Nothobranchius furzeri: one gene and its partners. The protein of the gene in region 2 purifies or fractionates together with the protein of the main gene of each other region. This does not show direct contact. Links are inferred from orthologs where the notes say so. Each region holds a gene or a part of one and is shown on either strand. Other genes may lie near its edges.

Evidence for each region. The genes of interacting proteins can lie anywhere in the genome.
Region 1: the proteins of hsp90ab1 (region 2) and cdk4 purify together in Homo sapiens (affinity purification with mass spectrometry; 5 studies listed by BioGRID and IntAct, counting the BioPlex papers as one, with this or other methods). This does not show direct contact. The link is inferred for Nothobranchius furzeri from reciprocal best matches to the Homo sapiens genes HSP90AB1 and CDK4.
Region 3: the proteins of hsp90ab1 (region 2) and mcm5 fractionate together in Homo sapiens (co-fractionation; 3 studies listed by BioGRID, with this or other methods). This does not show direct contact. The link is inferred for Nothobranchius furzeri from reciprocal best matches to the Homo sapiens genes HSP90AB1 and MCM5.

What each region holds. Positions count from the first base shown.
Region 1 is NC_091743.1:49,229,032-49,235,595, forward strand, and holds the start of cdk4 (cyclin-dependent kinase 4), read left to right. Parts: upstream 1-2,552; 5' UTR 2,553-2,763; intron 2,764-6,564.
Region 2 is NC_091742.1:8,414,001-8,420,776, reverse strand, and holds hsp90ab1 (heat shock protein HSP 90-beta), read left to right. Parts: upstream 1-2,251; 5' UTR 2,252-2,392; intron 2,393-3,155; coding exon 3,156-3,299; intron 3,300-3,369; coding exon 3,370-3,576; intron 3,577-3,659; coding exon 3,660-3,819; intron 3,820-3,917; coding exon 3,918-4,051; intron 4,052-4,120; coding exon 4,121-4,429; intron 4,430-4,499; coding exon 4,500-4,665; intron 4,666-4,757; coding exon 4,758-4,948; intron 4,949-5,062; coding exon 5,063-5,210; intron 5,211-5,288; coding exon 5,289-5,557; intron 5,558-5,657; coding exon 5,658-5,991; intron 5,992-6,094; coding exon 6,095-6,210; 3' UTR 6,211-6,501; downstream 6,502-6,776. Other genes in the region: rbm25b (RNA-binding protein 25b), read right to left, coding at 114-192. UniProt on the Homo sapiens protein: Molecular chaperone that promotes the maturation, structural maintenance and proper regulation of specific target proteins involved for instance in cell cycle control and signal transduction. Undergoes a functional cycle linked to its ATPase activity.
Region 3 is NC_091752.1:68,040,150-68,046,930, forward strand, and holds the start of mcm5 (DNA replication licensing factor MCM5), read left to right. Parts: upstream 1-2,769; 5' UTR 2,770-2,904; coding exon 2,905-3,077; intron 3,078-3,427; coding exon 3,428-3,554; intron 3,555-3,634; coding exon 3,635-3,763; intron 3,764-3,842; coding exon 3,843-4,015; intron 4,016-4,098; coding exon 4,099-4,254; intron 4,255-4,338; coding exon 4,339-4,508; intron 4,509-4,585; coding exon 4,586-4,757; intron 4,758-4,880; coding exon 4,881-4,992; intron 4,993-5,069; coding exon 5,070-5,213; intron 5,214-5,285; coding exon 5,286-5,351; intron 5,352-5,424; coding exon 5,425-5,601; intron 5,602-5,678; coding exon 5,679-5,791; intron 5,792-5,865; coding exon 5,866-5,994; intron 5,995-6,068; coding exon 6,069-6,211; intron 6,212-6,284; coding exon 6,285-6,412; intron 6,413-6,504; coding exon 6,505-6,606; 3' UTR 6,607-6,781. UniProt on the Homo sapiens protein: Acts as a component of the MCM2-7 complex (MCM complex) which is the replicative helicase essential for 'once per cell cycle' DNA replication initiation and elongation in eukaryotic cells.

The sequences.
Region 1 (6,564 bases), on a different chromosome or scaffold from region 2:
TGGTCCGAGACATTCTTCCCCAGCCTGACTTGTTGTTTCCTGTCTGTCAGGAAGTCAGTGATCCACATGCAGATGGGGTCAGGCACGTTCATCTGGGACATTTTGTCTTGGAGGAGGTCTGGCAGGATTGTGTTGAGTGCAGAGCTGAAGTCCACGAACAATATCCTGGCGTAGGTACCTGGGGAGTCCAGATGCTGCAGGATGAATTGTAGAGCCATGTTGATTGCATCATCTACAGACCTGTTTGGTCTGTATGCAAACTGCAGGGGGTCCAGGAGGGGGGCTGTGAGGGTCTTGAGGTGGGGGAGAACTAGGTGCTCAAATCAAATCAATTTCCCTCTGGGATTAATAAAGTATTTTTGAATTGAATTGAAATGACTTCATGACCACAGATGCAGTCCTTTAGTCCAGTGATTCTTGGTTTCTTGGGGACAGGGACTATGGTGGAGATCTTGAAGCAGGCAGGCACATGAGATTCCTCCAGTAAGGAGTTGAAGATGCTCGTAAACACTGGGGCCAGCTCTTCAGCACAGTGCTTTAGAGTGGCAGGAGCCACGCCATCAGGGCCCGGGGCTTTTCGTGTGTTAAGAGACCTGAACTGCTTCTTTACATCTGCTTCATGAACGAGTAGATTTGTGGTGGAGGTGTGTGATGTGAACACCTCGTGAGTGGGGGGGGGGGGGGGGGGGGGTGATGAAGGTGCTGGTGATGGCTCTGTAACGGGGAGTGGCTGACCAATGAGCTCAGCCAGAAACCAAAGCTCTTATAAGCCATTCTTAATCCCATTCATCACTCATGGTCATGAGCTTTGGGTAATGACCAAAAGACCAAGACCATGAATGCAAGCAACTGAAATGACTTTCATCTGTAGGGTGGCTGATCTCAGCCTTGAGATATGATGCCGAGCTCAGACAACTGAGTAGAGCCACGGCTCCTCCACAGAGAGGAACGAGCTGAGGTGGTCTGGGCATTTCATCAGAATGCCTCCTACAACGTCACAGGCGAGGAATTCCAGGAATGTGATACTGACAGAAGGTTCCCAGGTTAACTAAGTAAATTGTAATTTCTCATCCCTTGTCCGTTTTATCATTTTGGTGTATTTTGCAGTGTATCTGTAAAGTGCTTTGGTCAGCTGTCATGCTGTTTTTAAATGTGCTATGGAAATAAAGCTAGTATGGTATGGATTAGGGATGCGCCAATACCGTTATCGATACCAGGAATCAATGCCAATGCAGTTGCCTGAAAGTGGCTTCACTGTAACTTGTCATTTCTGTTCACCTAATATTTTAGTTTTGTGATCATTTCCATTAATATATTTTATTTTTTAATCTACCTCACACACTTTTCCTGTTGAAAGAAAAGAAAATAAAACCTGTATTCCAATTCATTGCATTTTATTGTGTGGTAGAAGTATCGGTGTAGGCGAGTACTCAGATCCAAGAATCGGTATCGTATCTGTTTGGGAAAAAGTATTGGTGCAACCCTAGTAAGGATCCCACCAGTGGAAATAGCTGGACAGAGGATAATTTGGACCTCTCTTCAATCCCAGCGACCCAAATCTAACTAAGAATAAACTATTTATAAACACTGACCTAAACTATAGTGCTCAGATGCTGATCTTGATTCCTTCACCCTTGAATTTCCTCACGGGACACCACTAACTTTAGAATTTAAAAACACACCTAAACATACTTAAACCATTAAGCTGTTATAATAAATCTGCAAACATGCTAGGTTTCGAACCCAAACACAGTCACAGAACACTCACCCCTTCCCTCGGGTATCTTCCCTGAGACGCAACCTGCGATACCATACCACTTTAATTATAGAGCGCTTTTAACACGGCATTACAACCGACCAAAAGCTGCACATGTTAATGCCGCACGAAACGAGACATGGCCAAACACCAGTAACCGTTTTCTAGGTCCAAACAGCTTTTGTCTGTGACATAAAATGGAGGGTTTTTTTTAGGCTCTGGCAGTTTGTCCAAAAGTTGAAGTGGTAGCAGCCGGCCGTTTCTCCTCCTCTGATACTACTGAGCCGCGAACCTCTCACACCAGCGGTGTTCTGTTGCCAAATATGCGAGTGCGTAACGAATAGAGGCCCCATGGTCGTGCAGGAGTTCAGCGGTTTGGAGACCAACAACTGATGGTTCAATAGTTGCTTCTGGTCCTAAATGTGTTATTTGCTGAGGTTTTTAGACAAATGTGAAAGAACCACTTTATTTATTTATTTCATCTCCACAGTTTCTTTATTTCTTTAACATATCAGAACTTGTTAAGAGGCATGAAAAAAGGTTTTAGACACATTTGTTTGTTTGTTTTAATGTAACTTTAAGTCTGGTGAAACCACATTTACAGTTTCCCCACTCTTCCTTTGATGATGTGTAACAAAGTTAAATGTTGGAAACGTTTAAAGTAAAGATGACTGCTTCTTGGAAGCTGAAACAGGTATTTTACATCAGCAGAGGCTTTAGAGGAGATGATGCGCTAAAGTTTGCGTTGCTGCTTTAGGCTGTAGCCCCGCCCCCTGAGCAAAAGGAAGACAGGCGGAAAAAAAAGTGCGACGAGAGGCCGAAATCAAACCGACTGACTTGGTTTCCCCACATCACAAGCACCCGTGGGCAAAGAGTCTGGGTCTGGACCCGGCCCTGTCCACCTCTGACCCGGTTCTGAACGAGTTAGAGACGTGGCAGGAGAAGAAGCATGCCTCGCTGAAGTGATCTCACCTGCCGCTGAAACACGGAGAGGAGAAACGGGCGAGGTAGGTTCGTGTTTCTGGACTCTCGGATACAGGAAACTACAGCTGGGTCGTGTTGGTCACCTTAACTCTGGACATCTGGAGTTTGGGCTGGACAGATGCGTTAAATAAAAGTTGCAGTCGGTGGTTTGTCCTCCGCCAGCGGCCGTAGTTGTCAGCTATCCCTCCGCCACGTTGGGGCACATGTCTGAGGAGGAGAAACTAGCCGTCGGCCTGCTGTTGCTCCACTTTTCTTTTAGTTTAATCAACAAAGAAGAGTCGTGGAGTAGCACCACGTGTCTGTCCTGGCCTGGACCGGCCTGCTGACTCTGCCCACGGGCCTGCTTCTCCGTGGGTCGGTCTGATAGATCCGTAAAAATGAATGGAGGTCAGCTTCTGTTGATCATTTAATTACTGATTTGCTGTTATCGGTATGCTGCCAGTTCAATTAAACTCCCAGCTGGGCTGAAGCTGGTCAGATGTTATTGAAAGAAGGGGAAACATAAATGTTTAAATTAAAGGTGCAACATGGAAGAAGGAAGTAGGAATGACATCCTATGGTCAAAATTGGTTACTGCAGCCCATTTTCAAGACACACTGGTCTGGTATGGCGTCGTCACATCTGGCCTGTAGAGCCCTGCACGGGCCTAAAATCTGAGCCCGTGTCCGGCCCGTGGAGCCCCAGCCCGACCCGGTCCGAAAAGGTTTTCAGGATTCTCTGGCCTGAGCCCAATTTTGTTTTTTAACCTTTCATAATGTTTTAGCGTGATAGAATGCTCAGCATTCTAATTATCTGTGAGAAGCATTCTGCAGTAAAAAAAATAAATAAATAAAAAGAAAAGAACAAAAAAACAGCATTCAATGCAGCTTTTTTTTCTAACAGAGCGTATTTTTTGAGCGGCAGATGAAATTTACGAACACTATATTAATTGGATGCGTTTGTAAATTTAATCTGCTCTGAAAATGCGCCCTTGTGCAATTAGAAAAAAAAGCAGCATTCTAATTTTCTAACTGCAGAGCGCATTTTCAGAGCGGCAGATTAAATAAACACCCCCAATTAATATAGTGTTTGTAAATTTAATCTGCCGCTCTGAAAATGCGCTCGCCAGTTAGAAAAAACAACAACAATGAATGCTGTATTTTTTTAACTGCAGAGCGAATTTATTCACAGAAAAATAGAATGCTGTCATTTTCTTGAGAATAAACAAATGGTTTCTGACATATCAAAGTGGACATAAAATGGCATATTAGAATAGGGGCACATGTTTCAGTCAGCCGTTTATATAGGCGCATTAATAAACCACACAGACCTTAACTGAGCTAACGGTGCCGGTGCGTGAGAAGCAGGCAGGTGCTGCTGCATTCAAGTGTTTCAATTTTTTTTATGAATTTGATTAAAAATAAAGGCGCCTGGCCCGGCCCGTGTCCGAGGTAATTACGCAGTCGTTGGCCCGAAGCCCGGCCCTCGGGCCGTCGGACCGGGCCGACCTGAGGGCCTAGGGCTTCATTGCAGGGCTCTACTGGCCTGGTCCGGTCTCGGTAGAGTCGGCCCACCCCTGCATGGCCAGTTTTTGTTCACATAGCCTTCTCAGAGCGAATGCCTCAGAGCACGTGGGCCAGGTGGGTGTTTTACTCACGTTGGTAAGCAAAAGTAGCCGTGAGCAGTGATATGAAGCACACCGTTTCCTACTCTCACGCCGATACTGCTGCGTGCTCCTCACAGCAGTCTGTCTGACCAGCAGTCAGAGATGTTTACAAATATGGGAAGCCTCTGCTGGCTAATTCTACCAACCAATCAGAGGCTCCCTCTATAGGTAGGTGTGAACTTCAGCTGGCCAATCAGTCGTATTTGGTGTGTTGGCTCAGTTTTCCATGAAATAGACTACTGGGGAGAAGCTCCAAAAAAAAAAAGCTGAGCATGGAAAACGACTACCCAGATGTGCCTATCAAGATGTGAAAGCCCAATTGCTCAGGGTCAGAGTTCACCCTAACCCATTCTCCTGCCAGAGAAAGAATGCTGCTGTTGTGTATTTACTTAAACCACCTCTCCTGCTGGTGGTGGTTGGAGGAACTGGTGGCGCCTAGACTCAGCAGCCCCTCCTGTCAGTAGCTACGTTGATTTTACAGACGTTGCGCTACAATTTCAGGTGTTGGCGCTCTTTTGCTCCGCCCACATGCTTATAGATGCGCTCATGACATCACAGGCCCCAGACCGCCTATGTTCTCAATCACATCTATATTCTCAAGGCAGTGTGGGACGAACACAGCCAGGCTGGGGTGGGCGGAGTGGAGTGGAGCTGATGCTAGTGTGTAAGTGGCACAAGTCCAACAGGTGGCAGCCCACCACACTGAAGTTGCAAGTGCGGTATTGACCCTGTGCACGTGACGTCACGCCACTCATGTGACCGCCCCCTTCACCATGATGGACGGCAAAAAGACCGTTTACACCCGTAGAAACTCCAGTGAAGCTAGTCAAAACAAGCCAGTTTGTAGCCTTTTATAGCTTTTATTTAGTTGATTCGACAGTAAAATGGTTTTAGCTTGCTGCGTGGTCGGCTGCACTAACAGACAAGGATGTAAAGTCAACTTGTTTTGTTTTTTTATTAACTTTGATGGAGACTGAGGACGGAGATGAACTGCAGCGATCAATCAAGCGGACTAGCAGGTCTCAGATTTGCAGCGAACATGTTTTTACCGGGTAAGATTAACGTTCATTTATTTGACGAGGAAGACGGGGACAGGGGTAAATGTGATGTGTTTATACAAGTTATTGATAATCCTGATGGACGGGTATTTCACCACGGAGGCTGCGCTCCGTCCACTGTAGTGTAAAGCGAGACGATTATTAACAATATTAAAGCTCCGATGTATGATTACGTGTGTTAAAATTACGTTATTTATTTATATGAGCGTCGGCGTTCAGAGATCTTCTCATTCCGGTGTGAAAGCAGCAGCTGAACCCGGTAACACCACCAGCAACAGAAGCTGGTAGGGATCCGGACTTTTTAAAAATCAGCTTTGGTGTAAAGTGAAACGCTGTTTATAACATAATTTTATAAATCCAGAGGGGTGAATTTAGGCAAAGTCAGCAACATGTTTACATCGGTGAACAGCTGCAGAGAGAACGTAAGCTAACGTTGGTAAGCTTGTTAACACACCGCTCTCTATGAGCCCCCGCTAGATGCGCTACTTCTTCTGATAACTGAACTGGGCCTGAACTAGTTGAAGGAATGCTGGAGGAGTTTTGTTTTTGTTTTGATCGCTAAAACAATTTCAGGCTCTACTTTTCCCTTTGTTTTGTAATCGTGTCGCTCACTGTTTACATGCTTTTGCCGTCCACGTGATTAGGTGGCGTCGGTGCAAAGGGTCAATTCTTGCCAGAGGGGGCAGTGGGGGTCTGAGTGACATTTAATGAACCTTGTAAAGGGTCTTTTAGCACATACTGGCTCAAGAAAATAATTTAAAAATATGATAAAGTTGCATAGTATCCTAACAAAGATCCACCTGTAAAAAGATTGTGAACTATCATACACCGTGATTTAGTATTCTTGTCATTAATAATAAAACAAAAATCGGCTAAAAAAACACAACATGTTTTACTTTGTTTACTTTGAAAAATACTGGATGCAACTTGCTGAAACAAGGCTCACTTCCTGTCTGGCTCCTGTCATTTATTTAACTTCATGACACTCTGCATGCAGTGTGCAGAAGAAAAAAAAAACGCCATGCAGAAACTTTCAGGAGCTCCACATCTGGACCGCACCACAGCCAGTGTGAACGTTCTGATTGGGCTCAATGATTTTTGGACTTTAAGGAAACTGGACC
Region 2 (6,776 bases):
AACAAAAAAAAGTTGTTAAGACTGTGAATATGAAATTAATTAAATTATTACAAATAATGAGCATCTAAGAGGTGTCATGTTGCGTAATTTACGGGAGCCTGGTTGGTACTTACCTGTGGGGAAGCCAGCATACTGAGGAGGAATCCCAGGTGGGGGCAACAGCGGTCGATTTAAATGAGGAGGGAAGGACATTTTGAGGGTGAATGTGGCCTAAAGAAGACACATTAAAGGCCATTAGTGTTGTTTGCATAAGGTAAAAACGTCCAAACAGCTCAAGTAAAAACACAGAGGGAGCGAACATTAGTGTATCCACAATGAGGAAACACTGAAGGTCTCGGTGGTGAACATTACAAATCGATAGTGACTTTTATTTGACTTTGCTGGAACGTTAACTAAACTTAGCCAAACTTTGTGAGGTGCCATTCGCTAATTAGAAGTAACAAAGTCCAAACTTCTTAAAAATATTAACATCTCAACAATATTAAGACTAACCACACACAACAGCTAAGTACGCTAAAGCTAGCAATGAGCACGTTACCCGATATAACACCGGCACAGCTAAAATGCTAAAGTAACCTAGCCCGAGCAGATGTTAATTTATAATAAAACACTGACTTTCCCAAGGCTAAACATGAGCTCGAAGTAAATATAAAAGCCTCTACATATACCTACCACTCAACCAGGTGGCGTATGATGAGATAAAATCCACTAAAAATGTTAATGATAGTGAATTAATAGCTAACGTTCTGGACGCCTGATTAGCACGCTAGCTGGTCGCGGGCCCTCGAAAAGTTTGACGCACGCGCTTTAGGAGCAAGAGTACTGGCGCGCTTGTTTTGTGCACCAGAGTGTATACACTGAACGGGGCTTAATGTGAATTCGCAAAATGAACCCTTTTCAGGAAACGAAACTTCTGCTAACAGGGTTCGATCAGATTACCTAACTAACCTTGGAAGACCTAATGCGCGGTAGTAACTAAATGAATAAAAAAGGTTGAATAATAATAGCATTGAAATTAAGTTACACCAAAAAAGCGGTCCGCATTTTTTTTATTAAAACGATTTGTTTCTAATCGGTTTAATTTACAAAACATCTGATCACATAAAAAAACAGCATTGTGATTTTCCTACTCGTTTTAATCAATTAGAGGATAAAGCCATCATATGATTATTTCAATGTTAAACTTCTTTTTAAATGTTTTTTAAAAGAGTACATAAAAATTCTGTGTACATTATTGTTAAAATGGTCATTCTTACCAATTCTGAAATTGTAACTAATAAATAACATATTCTGTATGCAAAGTATGACTGTACTTCTGTTATTTATCACTGAGGTTACTATCTAAATTTATAAATGTGTCTTCTGTAGTTAAACTACATAATAGAAAGCTGAATCATAATCATTTGTGCATCTCTTGCATTTGATGGGTCTAACTGCGTACATTTATTCCACTCTAATCCACTTGACAACAGTGACTTCTTCCCCTTACACTGTACTAAAAACTCAATTCCAAAGTCGTGATCAACATGACAAATATAGTATTACATTTATGTATAGCAGTCCATCTTCCACTGGTGTTCTATGTCCATAAGAAAATCTGTAATTCATATAATAACAACCATTAGTTCATTTGACAATATAAAGCATATATTCTCATGATTCAGTACGGAAAAGGGTTGAGTTGATGGTTGTTAAGGCGTTTTTGCTGTAGGAACATTTTGTGACAGATGATACGTCGGGAGAGGAAAGGGGGAGATCTGTGACGTCACTTTAAGGCGGGGCTTTCATGGAAAGTGCTAGAAGCAGGCTAGAAGAAACGAAGCACACCTTCTCGTGTTTGAAATATTCATCCGTCGGAGTAAAAAGACCCACAGTCTATGTCGAATTTCAGGGAAACTAGACGCCACTTGAGATTTGAACTTGACGCGTGGTTTTAGTGTTATGCGAATCATTTCTCTATGTTGTCGCTAGATGGGATGATTGAGATCAAAAAACATCGCCTCTCAGTGCATGGTTTGCTGTAGCTCAACCTACCACAAGATGGCGACAACGTTACACTAAGGTCCGACTTCGTATACATTTTCTTTACTTAGATTGCATAATTGGCATTTAAACCCTTTTTACCCAACAAAACGTGAATAATAGATTATTCTTTTCCAGTGAGGAAGCATACAATGTGTGTTTAGTTCTGGCTGCGGTTTTACATAAAAGTGATTGCTTCAGGTTGTAGCTCGTGAACTGCGGATGGATACGACTGCACACTGCGACCCACGTGTATAAAGACTGGTCTGGTGCCGAAAAGTAGTTCCTTTCCTTTTTCTTCAGTCAGGGAGCGCAAGGGACTACACTTTTGCTGCATTTTATTCAAGAAAAAGTCAACGAAATTACCAAGGTGCGTACATTAACGGGTCCGTAGCTCGTGTCAGACATCCTTACCTTTATAAGTTTGTTAAAATATCATCGGTATGTATGTGTTTAACGAACATTATTAGTTAATGAAAATCCAGAGGTTAATATGGTGGTCGAATAAGTGTTTCGTGGAAGACAGACGCCTAGTACGTCGGCTGATGTTTTCATTTTCCTCTCGAGAGACTACTATTTGCTTATGTTTCCGAGCATCGTAGTGATGCTCTTGAGCAGCGGGAATGCGGCACCGTGATGTCAGGCAGGTGTGGTGACGGTGACTCCGCTGGATCGAGTTCTCGGCCTGATTAAATCCGTTATAAACCCACGTTAAACCGGTACACTGAGTTTAATGTGTGCGTAATAAGGCCTGGTTACCAGCCACGAGGGGTAGTGTTCATTTGGTCGTTACGTAATTGAACGCGGTTTCAATTAACCTCCACGTTTTACTGAAACTATCACATGGAGGCTAAAACAAGTACGTTTGTAGTATTTATGGAAGTCGTCGTCGCATTGTTTATCTATTAAAGTGACTTGAGTTGATCCGCCTTAATCGTTCGCCAGCACGTGTTTGCTGCGTCCATTGTCTAGTAGAAGCCATGTTTGTTAACTGACACTTCCGCCCTTATGTAGCAGACTGCTGCAGCGGCCATCCAACTTAATGAAGCCACTTGACGAAATCGCGTTACTTTGAAACTATCTTAAGTTCTGTTTCACTTTCATTTACTGAAGTGACTTTGTTATATTTTCAGATGCCTGAAGAAATGCACCAAGAGGAGGAGGTTGAGACCTTTGCCTTCCAGGCAGAGATCGCTCAGCTGATGTCCCTGATCATCAACACCTTCTACTCCAACAAAGAGATCTTCCTTAGGGAGTTGATCTCAAACGCTTCTGATGTGAGTCTGCTGAAGCTTCAGTATTCTTCTGACTTTAAGGAAGAAACTAACCGCTATTCCCTGTTTTCAGGCTCTGGACAAAATCCGCTATGAAAGCTTGACTGACCCCTCAAAACTGGACACTGGCAAAGATCTGAAAATTGACATCATTCCCAACAAAGCTGACCGGACTTTGACCCTGATTGACACCGGGATTGGCATGACCAAAGCTGACCTTATTAACAACCTGGGCACCATCGCCAAGTCGGGCACAAAGGCCTTCATGGAGGCCCTCCAGGTACTACGCATCCCATAATGGCCTGCACAGGATCTTAAGAGACTGACTGATCTTGTGAAGCTAAATTTGTTTTATTCCTCCAGGCTGGTGCTGACATCTCAATGATTGGTCAGTTCGGTGTGGGTTTTTACTCTGCTTATCTTGTTGCTGAGAAAGTGGTCGTCATCACCAAACACAATGATGATGAGCAGTACGCCTGGGAGTCATCTGCTGGAGGTTCCTTCACAGTCAAGGTTGACAGCGGTGTGTAATTCTAACCATCACCAGTGACGTCTGAGTGTGCACTACTTGCTTACTCTAGTTTATTTTAGCTTTTCTGAAAATTCCTCAAATGTTTTCAGGCGAGCCCATTGGCCGTGGAACTAAGATCATTCTGCACCTGAAGGAGGACCAGACAGAGTATGTGGAGGACAAGAGGGTCAAGGAGATCGTTAAGAAGCACTCTCAATTCATTGGCTACCCCATCACCTTGTTTGTAAGTGCTTAAAAGTACGTTTTAAAAATTTTAAGTCTTGGGCAGATTTCTAAAGCTTTTATGTCGCAGGTGGAGAAGGAGCGCGACAAGGAGATTAGTGACGACGAGGCAGAGGAGGAAAAGACCGAGAAAGAGGAGAAAGAAGAAGAAGCTGAAGACAAGCCCAAGATTGAAGATGTGGGTTCAGATGATGAGGAGGATTCCAAAGACAAGGACAAGAAGAAGAAGAAAAAGATCAAGGAGAAGTACATTGATCAGGAGGAGCTGAACAAGACCAAGCCCATCTGGACCAGGAACCCCGATGACATCACAAATGAAGAATATGGTGAATTCTACAAGAGTCTAACAAATGACTGGGAGGATCACCTGGCTGTCAAGGTACACGAGTTTCCGACAAAGTTTTAACCCTGCGGGCTGATTTTTTTTCTAATGCTTTATTTTCTTTCAGCACTTCTCTGTGGAAGGCCAGCTGGAGTTCAGAGCCCTGCTCTTTATTCCTCGCCGTGCACCCTTTGACCTCTTCGAGAACAAGAAAAAGAAGAACAACATCAAGCTGTACGTCAGGCGGGTCTTCATCATGGACAACTGTGAGGAGCTCATTCCTGAGTATCTGAGTAAGTTCAGCTGCATTTTCCACTGTGGTCTGAAATGATTCCACAGACTCTTTAAATGGCTAATGCATTTAAAATTACTTTGTCCACTCAAGACTTCATCCGTGGTGTTGTGGACTCTGAGGACCTGCCCCTCAACATCTCCAGAGAAATGCTGCAGCAAAGCAAGATCCTGAAGGTTATTCGCAAAAACATAGTCAAGAAGTGCTTGGAGCTGTTTGCAGAACTGTCGGAGGACAAAGACAACTACAAGAAATTCTACGAGGCTTTCTCAAAGAACATGAAGGTATTGAAACTAAATGGTGGATTCATCTGAATTGGCTTGGTGTGTTTTATAAACTGAGGGACGCATTGCTGTATTTTGCATTTAAAGATCATGTTTGGTTGCTTTTTTCCTCAGCTGGGCATACATGAGGACTCTCAGAACCGCAAGAAGCTGTCTGAGCTTTTGCGCTACCACAGCTCCCAGTCTGGTGATGAGATGACCTCCTTGACTGAGTACCTCACCCGCATGAAGGAAAACCAGAAGTCGATCTACTACATTACTGGTACTAACACACACTATCTGGAAACCACACCTCCCCGTAGACTTGTTCATCCTTGCTGAGGATCTGGTTTCTCTGCAGGTGAGAGCAAAGATCAGGTGGCCAACTCCGCCTTCGTCGAGCGTGTCCGCAAACGTGGCTTTGAGGTGCTGTACATGACAGAGCCCATTGATGAGTACTGCGTCCAGCAGCTGAAGGAGTTCGATGGCAAGACCCTGGTCTCTGTCACCAAGGAGGGTCTAGAGCTGCCTGAAGATGAGGATGAGAAGAAAAAGATGGAGGAGGACAAAGCCAAATATGAGAACCTCTGCAAGCTCATGAAGGAGATCCTCGACAAAAAAGTGGAGAAGGTGTGTGTTTTGGGTTTCCTTTCCCTGTAGGCTTAAGTTTTCATGAAGGGTTTCCTTGTGGTCCAACATGGTGTAAACCTTTGTGCTTAATTTCCTCCAGGTGACTGTGTCCAACAGGCTGGTGTCTTCCCCTTGCTGCATTGTGACAAGCACGTATGGCTGGACGGCAAACATGGAGAGGATCATGAAGGCCCAGGCACTCAGGGACAACTCCACCATGGGTTACATGATGGCCAAGAAGCACTTGGAAATCAACCCTGACCATCCAATCATGGAGACTCTGAGGCAGAAGGCTGAGGCTGACAAGAACGACAAAGCAGTGAAAGACCTTGTTGTCCTGCTCTTTGAGACGGCCCTGCTTTCTTCAGGCTTCTCTCTCGATGATCCACAGACTCATTCCAACCGTATCTACAGGATGATCAAACTTGGCCTTGGTAGGAACTCATCAGATTAGCTGTTGGTGGGTTTTTATTTCTCTCCTTTCTAATGTGTGCTTATGGGGTTTTTTTTTTTTTTTTTTTTTTTTTTTTTTTTTAGGTATTGATGATGATGACATTCCAACAGAAGAGACCACCACCACCACATCTGTTCCAGAAGAGATGCCACCTCTTGAAGGTGATGAAGATGCTTCACGAATGGAAGAGGTTGATTAAACGGACTTTACCACACTTCAAAACACTTAAAACCCTGTTTTACCAGTAGTTTATTCCCTAAAAGTGCAGTAACTGTAAATTAAATCATTCCTGTGGTGTGGAGGACCAGAGTTGCTGTTACTGGAACCTTACACTGCTATTCCTTCGAAAAACTTTTATTTTGCTGTGAAATTACAAAAGTGATTTTTTTTTTTTGTTTTGTTTTTTTTAGTACTGTTGCTCCGACTTAAATGTTTGTGGTAAATGTTCAGATGTTGGTCTATAGTCTGACGTTCAAAGGGTTTGCTAAAATCAGTTCATGTGCAATGCTGCATGGAGGGAGAGGACTGTTTGGTTCTTTTTGCCTGAGTTCAGGCCTGCCTGTGCGACAAGTCTTGTTTTGCAGAAAATAAAAAGCTGTAATACCTTGTTTTTGTTTATCTGGATCCTTTAGTTTCCACTCTTGGGACTTTGTTTTTTCTAGACATTACCTTCTCCACCAGAGGGAGACATGAACACATTTAGATCAATCTTAAAAGTTAACTTTATAGTATACTTATCAATCACTTAAAACTGTGTAAAATAGT
Region 3 (6,781 bases), on a different chromosome or scaffold from region 2:
AACATTCGTTACATTTGAGCATTTTTTAAATAAGTGCTGTTGATAAATGTTTGTATTTGGGGTTTAAAAGAGGGCTAATAATGAATAGCCTACACTACGTCTTAGCACGAGAAAGCTTTTCTCTTTTATCCACAAATGTGATTTTTAAAGATTGCTATATTAAAAAGTTTAGTGGTGCTGGAACTAATGTTGTATGATGAGAACTTGTGGAAAACATTAAAGGTGCATTATGGAAGTTTGACAGTCAAAACATGTATAGAAATAATAAATGTCTTCTTCATACATTCTCCTGCAATGCCCTGGTCCTGTAGAATGAGCCCTGGCATTTTTACTGTGATTGCCTGTTTTTCTGTAAAATCACAGAAAAAGAGAGATGCTCGGGTCGAGCAGGCTGCTTCATTCACGCTCAGGCATCGCCCGTAGCGTTTGCTATCAGTAGCTTTAGCAGCAGAGAGAGAGACAGTGCCACTTTGTCGCTGTTCCTAACGCCTAGTGACAAAGCTAGCTACATTTCTGAGGACCCTTAGCTACTTTCTGTAGAACTTTCTTCTAGATATTTCCTGCAAATTAGCAACAAAATAGCCATTTTCGCTCCGAACCGTTCTTTGAACGTTGTTTCAGCTGTCATCAAGGATATAAATGTTACAGATACTGTGAATGTTACTAGAGTGTAGCTCACCTTGTGAGACGACGGACTCGCATGCAGAACACCTGTGTTCGATTCTAGGTGTGAACATAGTTTATTTAGAGTTTATTTTTTACATTAATGGTATATTTTTTTACAGTAAGATGCCCAAATTTTTATTGGAGACTCGCCGAACGGCATTGAATTCACAGATAAAAAAGATGTGGGTTCAACTTTCATTTTGGAACAATTTTTCAAGTAAGGGAAGGGAATGATCTGAGCATGCAGGAGGACTGACCCATCATAAACCTTTGTCGGCTGTGCTGAAGAGAAAGGTACAGAACCAAATTATTTAATGAATTAGCTGCACGTTCTCTTGTCCTCTGTCCTCCAGGCCACCCACACACACACACACACACACACACACACAAGGGACTGTCTCAGCTGTTGTTTTCGTTAAGGAGTGTGCACGTACAGCATGCGCTCCTCGTGCACGAGCCTACTATTGAAGCTGCTGTTACGCTTTTGGCCTGAGGGGGCAATCGCGAGCATAAAACTTCAAAAGTCCGTAAAGTATTAAATTAAGAAGAAAACTCGAGGCTGTGTTTGTCTTACTGAGATTTATAATTAAGAAGAAACAAAGGTCTGTGATGGACTGGGGACATGTCCAGGGTCCTTTCCTCTCACCCAATGCCTGCAGCTGGAGATGGGCACCAGCTCCATGTCGTCCTAGTGAGGATTAAGTGGATGGATGATTGTGCACAAGTGACTTAGAGCTTGTCCCAAGTGCACAAACCAAAATACAACATGGCAGCACCTGCACACAGGAGTCACTTGATGGGAATAATGTGTCTAGTTTCAATGCAAGTTCATGAAAATACCAAACAGGATCATACCTGCGGTGGTGGAGGGTTGATGGTTTGGGCTTCTTGCACTCATTGAGTCTACTCATCTTTTTTTAATGGTTGAAAAGTGAGTTTATGTCTCTGATGTTTAACCCTCTCAGGCTCAAAATAAGTTTTGATAAAAGGACGAACAACTAAGTCCTTCAGGGGTACTTCTGAGTTCAAAAGTGCTCATGAAATACTTATGTGGAGTAACCAGGTAGGTAGGCTTTAACTGTTGCAGACGCCTGCCTCCAGAGGGTTAAGGGAGTTGTTCTAGTAGGAACAAATGTCTTGTAAGTTGTTCTCGGGGGTGAAAAATATACCGATGCACTATTTATCTGACCTAAAAGTTGCCCACGTTACAGCTGAGCTATTTGGACATCTCGCCCCAGATTGGATGACAGCAACGCGACTCTACCATTGACTTGCAACAATGTTTTATCCACTAATAACACAAGTCTTGAGGAGCTTCTGCTGTGTGGTGCTGCTGCTAATGCTAATGGTTAGCTACATTCTCTGCGGTTTCCTGGACGTTAAACAACAGCCTCCCCCGTCGTGAGTCAAGATGGGTGAGTCCATGAATGTTAGTGACAGGGTGACGTAGATCTGTCAGGATTTTCTAATCCCAGAGTTTCACCGTCTGTTTTCTATCAGAAGCTAAAGCAGCCGGAGATTGGTGTAGGAGATTATTCTCGTGTTCAGCCTGCGAGAAACACGAGTGGCTGATTGATCATAAGTAGAAATAAAAATAAAAGAAGGCTTTTTCAGTGTTGCACTCTTTTAACGCGTTGGAGTAAAGTTGATCATGAAAAGGGACCAAATCCCAAACACAGCTGATCTACAACAGAATGGTGTCCAGAGTCCAGACCCACAAACCAGAATGATGGGAAGTCTCAAACTCTTCCAAAGCCGTGTGAGCCTGAAGCACCCAGACTGGAGTTTTGCATGAAAAAGGTTGAAATATGTTTCTAATAAATGTTAAAGTCTGATCTTTGAAGACAAAACAGCTGAAACGTTTGCGAAAACGAGCTAGATGTTCTCATGGCTCCTCTGCATGTTGAGCTGGGCAGCACGACGCTCCCGCCCCTCCCCCTTTGTGTTTTTCGCGCCACAACAGCGCTAAGCTCCACCTTCCCCCGTAACGTCACGCCTTTTGGAACCCTCTGTGACCAATAGAAAGAAGCCGGATTTAATTCAGCCAATCAGAGAACAGAAGAGGCGTGTAGCGAAACAAGCGGCTCGCGGGAAACAGACAGGAAGCAGATCGTTTTTTCCCGCGAAAGGACTTCGCTCTGGCGCATTGTTCCTGTTAGTGCCGCTCTCTGGGATCGCTCTGTCTGAGAATAAAGTCGTGTCCCAGCTCCGAGTTTTAGTTTAGTGAGCTGCAGCAGGATGTCTGGCTTCGACATTCCCGGAGTTTATTACAGCGACAGCTTCGGAGGAGGAGACGCGCCCGGCGGGGACGACGGCGGGCAGAAGCGGGCTCAGATCAAGAAGCGGTTCCGAGAGTTCCTCCGGCAGTTCCGGGTGGGAACGGACCGCACCGGCTTCACCTACAAATACAGGTGAGCAACACAGACGGCCACAGCCACCAAAGAACTGGTTTTAATAAGGAGGTAAATGTTCGAAGTGAAACGACACAAAATGTTAAAATAAAAGAAGTCTTTATCCGGAAGGTACCTACCAAAATAAGAGCTGGGTGAGGAGATCTAAGGTTTCAGGGTGAAATGAGGCTTTTTTGTGAGTGTGTTCCGCCATCTTTAAGGGAGAGCTACCGCGACCCCCCCTCCCCGTGCCACGCCACACACACACACACACACACACACACACACACACACAAGAATGGGCTCTCTTCACCCTGCTTTTATTTTGGTAGTCTGTCCGGATTGTAACATCTGTCCGTCCTTCCCATCAGAGATGAGCTGAAGAGACACTACACCCTGGGAGAGTTCTGGGTGGAGGTGGAGATGGAGGACCTGGCCAGCTTTGATGAAGACTTGTCTGACTGCCTTTACAAGGTTCCTGCGGAGAACCTGCCCTTGGTGAGTCTTCTGCTGGAGCCAGACCCAACTGTCAGGCGAACCTTTCCAGCGACATCCTCTAACAGATTTTCATTTAACAGCTGGAGGAAGCTGCCAAGGAGGTGGCGGATGAAGTGACCCGTCCTCGACCTGTAGGAGAGGAGGAGGTGCAGGACATCCAGGTCATGCTCAAGAGCGACGCCCACCATGCTTACATTCGCACCCTGAAGGTACCTGCTGACCCGTGTTGTTTAAGAGCCTTGTAGTCGTCGCGCAGGACTGGATTACACTACTTTTCTTCTCGTACAGTCGGAGCAGGTGTCTCGTCTGGTGAAGGTGCACGGGATCATCATCTCAGCCACGGCGGTGAAAGCAAAGGCCACCAAGGTGTGCCTCCAGTGTCGCGGCTGCAGGAACACCATCAAAAACATCGCGCTGCCGCCGGGCCTGCAGGGTTATGCTCTGCCCCGCAAGTGCACCAGGTGGGCGTAACCCAGAGGAGCCGCGCTTTCCCCCGGGCTTTCGGCCATCAGCGAGGAAGCTAACGCACCCCTTTTGTTCTCAGTGACGCTCCTGGGAGAGCAAAGTGCCCCGTGGACCCGTACTTCATCATTCCGGACCGCTGCGTTTGCGTGGACTTCCAGACGCTCCGTCTGCAGGAGTCTCCGGATGCCGTGCCACACGGAGAAATCCCCCGGCACCTGCAGCTGTACTGTGACCGGTAAGGAGGGGCGGCGTGGCGTGGCGTGGGTGTTTGAGCCGGGGCGGTGTGTTCTGCTCACTCAGGTGTCTTCTCTTCTCTCAGGTATATGTGTGACCGCGTGGTGCCTGGCAACAGGGTTACCATCCTGGGGATCTACTCCATCAAAAAGATGGCTGCTGCCAAAGCAAAGGGCAAGGAGAAGGGCATCGGCGTCGGGATCCGCGCGTCCTACTTACGAGTGGTCGGCATCCAGGTGGACACAGAAGGAGCAGGTACCGCTTTACGTCTGCTTCACGAGGCTGGCCTCTAGTCCACCCGGAGAAACGTTCCCCTTCTTCATCCCGTCCAGGTCGTGGTGCCACCGGGTCCGTGTCTCCTCAGGAGGAGGAGGAGCTGAGAGCTCTTGCTGCTTCTCCGAGCATCTACAACTCTCTGGCTCAGTCTTTAGCTCCCTCCATCTACGGCAGCGACGATCTGAAGAAGGCCATCACCTGTCTGCTGTTCGGAGGCTCGAGGAAGAGGTGAAACCGCCACCTCGCCCCATTCCCCCCCCCCCCCCCTTAGGGAATTTTGTGGATATTTAATCTGCAGAAATGTTTCTTATCTGACTTTAATAGGTAACCTTTTTGATTTTCTTCCTCCAGGCTGCCCGACGGTCTCACTCGCAGAGGCGACATCAACCTTCTGATGCTCGGAGATCCCGGTACGGCCAAGTCTCAGCTGCTGAAGTTTGTGGAGAGGTGCTCGCCTATCGGGGTAAGAGAAGCTTTCCCGGAGCTGCTGCTCTGACGCCAGCATGAGGAGAAGCTCAGCGGTGTGTCTGTGACCTTCAGGTCTACACCTCCGGGAAGGGCAGCAGCGCAGCCGGCCTGACCGCCTCGGTGCTTCGAGACCCTAGCACTCGTGGGTTCATCATGGAGGGAGGGGCCATGGTGCTGGCCGACGGAGGAGTCGTGTGCATCGATGAGTTCGATAAGGTAGGACCGACGCCCGAGCGTCAGCGTTAGACCCGGTTCGGAGTCTAAATCTGAGCGGTTTCTGTTTCTCAGATGAGGGAGGATGACCGCGTGGCTATCCACGAAGCCATGGAGCAGCAGACCATCTCCATCGCTAAGGTACGTACAGCTGATGCGCCATCTTGGATGTGAGACGGTTGCCGTGGTATCCTGACGTCCTCGCTTCCTCCAGGCGGGCATCACCACCACCCTGAACTCCCGCTGCTCCGTGCTGGCCGCCGCCAACTCCGTGTTTGGTCGCTGGGACGACACGAAGGGGGAGGACAACATTGACTTCATGCCCACCATCTTGTCTCGTTTCGACATGATCTTCATCATCAAGGACCAGCACGACCAGCAGAGGGACATGGTGAGGAGGCTGGAGCCTCGAACGCGTCGGCGCCCCCTTCCTCCGGAGTGTAACCTCACCGTCTGCTTGTTCCCCAGACGCTGGCTCGCCACGTGATGAACGTCCACCTGAGTGCTCAGACGCAGACCGAAGGTGTGGAGGGCGAGGTTCCTCTGGCTACGTTTAAGAAATACATCGCCTACGCCAGAGCGTGAGTCGGCCTCGGGCGTTTGGTCTGTCGTCCACAGTCGCGAGTCCGTTCTCAGACTGAGTGTGTGCTTGCAGGAAGTGTGGCCCTCGGCTTTCCGCGGCTGCCGCTGAGAAGCTGAAGAACAGATACGTGGTGATGAGGAGCGGCGCGCGGGAGCACGAACGCGAGAGCCACAAGCGGCCCTCCATCCCCATCACCGTCAGGTACCGGCGGCGCCTGCGTCCGAGCGAGTCGTCGCACCCGGGAGAGGGTTGTCACGAGTGTCTTGTGTCTTCAGGCAGCTGGAGGCGGTCGTTCGTATCGCCGAGTCGTTGGCTAAGATGAAGCTGCAGGCCGTGGCTGGAGAAGAGGAGGTGGACGAGGCCCTCAGGCTCTTCCAGGTCTCCACGCTGGACGCCGCTCTGTCGGGCAGCCTCTCAGGTGTGTGACGGCCACGTTTCAGAGCGGGGCTCGCCTGTCCCGTTTCCTGACGCTAACGCCCCTCTGTTCTCAGGAGTGGAGGGCTTCACCTCTCAGGAGGACCAGGAAATGCTCTCCCGCGTCGAGAAGCAGCTGAAGAGGCGCTTCGCCATCGGCTCCCAGGTGTCGGAGCACAGCATCATCCAGGACTTCACCAAGCAGGTGGGTCCGAGGGGGCCGTGTGCGTTTATTAACCACCACACTTTAAATGGTCGGTTTGAAGCGGCGTGTCTTTTGTTCTGCCCCTTCTCTAGAAATATCCCGAGCATGTCGTCTACAAAGTCCTCCACCTGATGCTGAGGAGGGGCGAGCTGCAGCACCGCATGCAGAGGAAGGTCCTCTTCCGGGTCAAGTAGAGCCGATCGGCGCCGCTGATGTAAATAGTTTGTGTTGGTTTCGAGTCTCTGCCACTCTGGACGCGGTCTGTGGCGAAGCCGCGGACCGGAGGTGTCACCGTGGGTGGTTTAGTGAGGCTGTGGCTTAACTGGTCTGTAAAGATGAAATGATGAAAATAAAACTTGCGTTCTGGTC